Linked DNA regions of Kluyveromyces lactis. The protein of the gene in region 2 interacts with the protein of the main gene of each other region in a pairwise test. Links are inferred from orthologs where the notes say so. Each region holds a gene or a part of one and is shown on either strand. Other genes may lie near its edges.

Region 1 (2,909 bases), on a different chromosome or scaffold from region 2:
TACTTGGTACTATGTTGCAATGACCATCCCAACAGCAGTATTATTTGCAGTTGTTTTCATGTACTTCTTCGTACAACTTAATGCTAGATACAGAGATTTTAGCGATGTTAAAAGAGACGCATTGAATCAAAAACGTAGAGTCATTGGTAAGTTCAAAGATATGAAAAAATACAAGAACATCAAGAATCACAAATATGACGAACTCCCTCTACACAAAAGTAGTAAACAAAGTTGAAAAGTAACGAACGAATATGTATTTACTCTATATAAATTTTGTATAGCTAATATTTTATGTGCAGTTTGAACATTTAATAATCAAAATTGACATTAGTCACCAAAATGAAAAAGCTGTTAAGAATAAGTTAAGAATAAGTTGAGAACGATGTAAACTAGCCCTTTAAACTTAACGAACTATAAAAGACAATCTTCAGTGCTTGAACTCATGAATATACAATAACAAATGCTATAAACCTATTCACCTGTAGAAGAAAAATATCTTTTCATATCCAATTCTCCTTGGCCGCTACTTCACAGATTTTTTCCAAAGTAGCTACTCGAGGATCAGGCTTTCTAGGCTCTTTGTCTAGTCCATCCTCAGGATCAATGACTTCGATATCAAGACTACTTGACTCATCCGGCAAATCCTCTATATAGTAAAAGAACGGTTCAAGAACAAACATTATTTTCCAAAAGTCAACTGAACCGCAGTTTGCGAACAGCACATCGATCAAACTAGGTAGATAAACCAGCTCAATATACTCTTCCGCACAGCATACAAACTGATCCAATTGGTAATCCTGTTCCTCTACACTCAAAGTAGAGTACATCTCCGATAATAAAGTCAATTCTTTGCTTATGGTTTTTGGAATATCTTGTCTTGCCTTCCAAAGAAGCTTCTGAGCATTAGCTAATTTGACTTCCACATTATCATTATCTGAGCTCGATTTACTATCGAGCATAAAGCCGGAATTCTCACTCTTTTCTATCAAGTCGTTGTATTCATTGTACAAAGAAATAATTTTCATCATAGGTTTGTACAACTGTTGACATACTTTTCTCTCTGATTTCGGTATGATAACCCTTTCCAGATAATGATTAATCAAGCCTTCCATGAAATTAGCCCATATAGAACTGTAGACGTAGTTTTCGTCATAAAGTGTCTCATCAAAATTCTTCTTGATATTCTCTCTCATCACATTTTCTAACAAAGTACAGAACAATTTTGGTTCTTTCTTGATATTTTTTGGCTCCACTTCTTCCTCATAATCCGAGCTATTCGGCTTACCATGTTTGTCCAACCAATAGTCTGGGCCGCCTCGTTGTGAGAGTGTTACTAGCAATAGAAATAGTTTTAATTTATCCATTGGCCTGATCAATTTTAGTACTACATTATCAGAAATCTTCGAAACATCATGATTGATCTTTCTGTGAATGCATGATATGAATGAGTGTATGATACGTGCTGTCCTCTGGCCATAATTGGTGCTTAAATACTCCATGGATGTTACAGTTTTATAATTTGTGTCTTGGAACCTCAAATCTCTAGTAAATTGAAACTTGTATCGCACTTGTTTGCGCGGCTTGCGAGTTGCGTGTGGCACACGAGCTTCTGCGGACATTATCACTATATCCTGTACGTTGTCGAGTTTCTGTAACTTGCTAAGGGTAAGGCCAGCCACTTGTCACCTTTACAAATTCCTTCAGTGAATGTTGATGTCTTCCAAGTTTTCAACACACTTTTGCAGTATCAAAAAGTGAAATTTCAATAGTTTTGTAAAGGAAAAAACAAGATAAACCAATAATGACAAACCCACCGTTAGCATGTATGACAATACTGAAATTTTATACTGAAATATCCAAAAAGAGTTTATTGGATAGAAGATAAATCGTTTCAGGTTAATCAATGAACTACAGTTTTGTCTTAACAGTAATGTGAAATTTCATACACGGCAAGTTATTGTCAACGTGAGTGCACACTAAAACGGCTAAAAAGACGTAAAATAAAAAATACATTACAAAATAATCTACTAAAGATATAGGCTGAACTGCAGTTCAATGGCAAAGTTCTGAATTAATGATAGATCTATGGAATTTCCTTGTTTATTATATTTATAGGAAAAGTATAGGCACTGATCGAATGAATTGGGGGTTTGGAAGGATAATATTAGTTCATTAAACGACATGAGGTTTACTCAATGTTTTTAGATGTTCTGGAAGAATCTTCATCCGAGTTGATATCAGAAACGTCGACCTTTTCGACGGCATCTGGATCCATACCTAAGTCTCTGATTATTTCTTCTTCTGACTTCTTAACACCCATCAAACCGTAGGTTGATAGGGAAATTAAACCAAGAACACCTGCTAGACAGGAAAAGGTCATAGCAACAATACCCTTAGCAGTGAAACCATCTGGAATGTTAGCCACTTGAACGTTTTGACCGACTAGATCCAAGAAATCGTTAGTGTTTCCTGCAGCGTTACCTTCCCAAGAAAGACCGACATTTTCGCAGACTTGCTTGTGGTTATCAGTCAATTGTTGGGATTCAGTGTTTTGCATTTCTTCTGGTGCTTCAATCAACAACAATGCAAGACCTTGCTTCAAATGCCATTCAATGTGACAATGGAAGAACCAAACACCTGGATTGTCGGCTTTGAAACGCAAGACTATACTGGATTGTGGATTCACGTAAACGGTATCTCTCATCATTGGGTAATCTGGGAAAGGATTGTGGTCTTCTGGATCGAATGGATGAGGTCCTTCACCAATTGCATCATCGTAACCACGTTCTCTGTCAACCAATTGGAAAATGTGACCGTGTAAATGGAAAGGATGCTTACCAGTATCGTTGTTATTCAAGACAATTTCAATAATTTCATCCTTTTTCAAGACGAAAGCATTTGTGTTGGTA
Region 2 (4,176 bases):
CAGCCTGAGCATGAGGGGACATTTCTGACATGGAAAGAGAAGGTGGAATGAACACATTGCCTGCGTTCAATCCACCTTGGTGATCTACATTCGATAACACAGATGAACCAAGCAAGTCGTTTTGATTCCGCGAAGGTGAAGACGACAATGATTTAGAAACTTCATTGATCATGTTGAAAATGTCATCATTCAACGTTGAATTATTCTGTAGAGGATTGGTTGAAACGGATCCGTAAGGAACACCTTCGGTTGTTGTGTCTTGATTTTTTTGCATTGACTTCTCATTCAATTTTTGATTTTCCTTTAGTTTTTGAAGCTGTTCTGCTTCCTTCTTCTTCAAAAGGCGTTGTTCTTCAAATTCACGCTGTTTTCTTTCCTTTTCCATTTTCTTTTGTTTTTGTTCTTCTTCGCGCTGTCTCTTTTGTTCCTCCTTTTCTTTACGAATGCGCTCTTGTTCTTCTTCCCGACGTCTTTGCTCCGCTAACTTTTTCTTACGTTTCTCATCATTCTTGCGTTTAGCTTCTTCAACTTTTTTCCTCTGAGCTTCTCTTCGAGCAATCTCCTTTTCCTCAGCTTCTTTCTTTAACCTGATTTCTTCTTCTTCTTGCCTCTTCTTTTCTTCTTCCTTTGCCAGTTGTTGTTGACGTTTTTTCTCCTTCTCCTTCTCCTTCTTCTTTAGTTTCTTCTTCTCCTTCTCCTTCTTCTGATTTTCTTCAGCTTCGAGTTCCATCAATAATCGTTCTCTGTTCTTTTCAGCCTCTTTCTCTTGATAGGAAGCGATAAGCTTTTTTTGGAGTAATTTAGTTATTGCGATCTGTATAAGCCTTCTACCTTCTTCTAAACGCTCGGCATGATCAAGCTCACTATCATAATTATCATCTATACCATCTTCAGATACATTTGAGGTGACAGAATTGTCGTGATGAATCAGTTGAGTGTGTCCATTTGGCACAGCAGAAGGGTCCTCATTCAGTTTCACGTTTTCATGTAGGTCATCATATATGATATCTTCATCCTCATTTTCATCATCGTAGCCAGAATCGAGGTGATGATCATCGATACATTCGTCATCAACATAGCCCTCTGCATCTTCATCATGATCGTTGCTTTCTTCATACTCATCGTTGGACCACTCATAAGATGCTTGGTCTTCGTCCGCTGAAATTTCATTACGTAAACGTTCTAGTTCTTCTTTATATTCTTTATCGTCTTGGTCAATTTCAGAGCGTCTCGTCTTATTAGTGAAGATATCATAGAATGCATTTTTCAGCGATGCAACCGCTTTAGGATCTTTAACAAATTTAAACGGAATACTGTCTATCAGAGAATCCACTTTATTGTTATCAACCAACGAAGGTCTATCCAGAGAGTCTGATTCAATAACGTCTTTTTTGTTATTTTCTTCTAAAGCATTTGCTGGTCCATTCACCCTTTCATTTTCGTGACTGTCGGATTCTGATACATCTATAACAGGTTCAGTGGGGTCCATTTCATAGATCTTCTTCTCAATTGAAACGGCCATGTTTTCCCTCCAATCTTGAAGTTCCTGTTGTAGAACAAGACTTTCCATAGCTCTTTTCAAACCTTCACCTTCATTATTCATCATATCCTCAGTTATAGCTTTAATGTGGGGATACATCATAGCTCTGTTGATGAATTCCTCGGCAATATGCGGATGAGAAGATACTACAGTTTTGGCAAAATGGAGAAGCTTAGAGTCAAACTCATCATGTTCGGGGATAACCTCATTAGTATTATCTATGTCATTGATAGGAGGGAGAGCTTCTTTACCTGTTGTAGACTCAGATACCTGCTTCTGTTTGCTACTTTTAAATTGTTCGATTTCGTGTTTCCAATCCAAAGCAGTCTGCGTTTTATTATCACTGTTCGGAATGGTGTCCATATTTGAATCAACTTCTTCTTTACCAAGGAAGTCAACTTGATATGATTTATCCAGCCCTATCGCTCCTTCTGAAAGACAATACTTTATGGCTGAATCTTCGCTTAATGAATCGAGGAAATCATTTGTACATTCATTTTCTGAAGTGCTAGCATTTTTCTCTTTCGGAAGTATGCTAGATAAAAAGGCATTTTTATTCGTTGAATCATTATTATCGTCGTTATCGTTATGGGCAAAGTTCTCATGACAAATATTGGAATCCTGTTTGTCCCCATGGTGACGCATATGGTGATGTGTATTATTACTACCATTCTGATATTCTTTTATTAGCTTTAAGTGGAACTGTACAAAATCTGTATCTGAATCTTCTTCCCTTGCACTATCGTAAAGTTCGCAATATATCTGTTCAATTTCTTGCTCTATATTCAGGTTGTTATGACGGCCACACATGCTACAATCACAATTATGCATATTCTTATACGATTTGATCATATCAAACAATTCGTCTTTGCTTATCCGTAGAATATTCCTTCTCTCTTCCAATGACAAAGATTCCCAATGGGTATCTAACTTGATTGGCCATTTAGTATCCTCGACTTCTTCATTATCAGCATCGGCATTGCAGTCTGCAGTATTTGTAACACCGCCACTATTAGTGCTGCTACTGCTGCTACCAGAACGATGATCCTGGTTTAGTTCTGATCTGTCTAATGATTCCTCTTCCGGAAGTGATTCCACTATGACATCTCCGTTTGGGGCTCTTTTGATCACACGAGAGGTAGGGTACTCTGCTTCATCATCGATGATTTCTGCGTGAATCTTCGATTCATGCAATTCCTTTTCACCCGCAGAACCATGCTGCTTCTTACTCTTCTTCTTACTCTTCTTATGTGCCACCATTTGTGAGTCTCTCTGTGATACTTTAAATCCTTCCACTAATTCTTTAACTACCTTTAGTAAAAAAGACTGTAAAAGGATGCTTGTAAATACTTTCCAAACTTTGATCTAGAGATTCTTTCACTAGTTGCAGCACTTTGGTCCGGTTTCGGCTTTCAATATCAACTACACTCCTCTTTTTACTTTACTTTCCTTAACTACACACTATACAAATTTTTGTTTTATATCCATTTTATTTGCATTATTCCAATATTTTAAATTTCCAAATTTTCTATATACAAAGAAAGAATCACTATTAAAAACCAGATGAGATAGAATTCAAAGGCTTTTTCAAATTTCAAACTCCTTACTATGAGAAGAAACCAGATTTCCAAAATTTCACTCAGTGCCGTATCAAGCAAGCCATAGTGAACAATGAAAAAAATGGAAGATACAAAGTACGGAGATAACGGAACCGGGTAATACGTAATAGCAAATGTGCGGGTAAATAATCACGTGCTGGTCTGAGATGAGTACTTTCTTCGCTCACTTAGGGTTACTCAATTACACGTATATATTTACTTAGTGCTATATAAAAAGAGAGATTTGGAAGGAAGGAGTTTTCGAATTATATTTTGAACTTCGGCGGCTAAAGTTCGGAAGATGAAGAGCTGGATGAAAAGGAGTTCTAGGCCTGCTTACCGATAATCGATAATGACAGGATCAATGCGAGAGAACTTGGTTAATACAGTGCTGCTTTGATGTGACATTTATGGTTTGATGAAATGATCACTCTTTAAATTGCCGTTATGTCGTTTCTATATTTAATAAATGATTCGAATGATCCTGAGATATCTCTATGTCACTGCTTAAAGTAAGATTGGCTCCGCATAAAAGGTCCTCTGATTCGCTATCTTTAATTGCACGCCTCCTTCCTCAAGATTCCAGCTAAAACAAAATACCCCTGGTTGACCAAATATACAAGAGATTAACAATACTGACTAACTATAGGTTTAACAAGCCACATATTAACTCTTCCTAGTGCATCCTTTTAAGCAATTTCATGTTTTTAAGATAAATTTGTTGGTCACGTGCACGAGATACATCAAGACTATCTACAGCCGTTTATGATTTCTTTCTTTTTCTACTCAAACAAAACTTGAAAAGCTATTGTCCCTGTGATATTTCCCAAGAATATTTCTGCTGTACATTTATTTAACCATCCCGTTCTGTTTAGTGAGAGTCGCACACTCCACCTGCGTATCTGCCAGTGATAAATTACTCCCGGTCAGCAGCGATGCAGTCTTCTGTGCTTCCAAGTACTTCCCAACAGTACTGGATTGATCCTGCAAATACATCAAATTATACTTCCCCTAATTCAAGACAAATTCTACGCATAG

What was found.
Region 1: the proteins of NST1 (region 2) and AAN1 interact in binary tests that used the Saccharomyces cerevisiae proteins (3 or more experiments, as listed by UniProt). The link is inferred for Kluyveromyces lactis from reciprocal best matches to the Saccharomyces cerevisiae genes NST1 and AAN1.

Annotation. Positions count from the first base shown.
Region 1 is NC_006042.1:2,441,442-2,444,350, forward strand, and holds AAN1 (Aan1p), read right to left. Parts: upstream 1,620-2,909; coding exon 501-1,619; downstream 1-500. Other genes in the region: PSG1 (Psg1p), read left to right, coding at 1-235; ferroxidase FET3, read right to left, coding at 2,189-2,909.
Region 2 is NC_006039.1:1,177,472-1,181,647, reverse strand, and holds the start of NST1 (Nst1p), read right to left. Parts: upstream 2,801-4,176; coding exon 1-2,800. Other genes in the region: YVC1 (Yvc1p), read left to right, coding at 4,074-4,176. UniProt on the Saccharomyces cerevisiae protein: With MSL1, acts as a negative regulator of salt tolerance.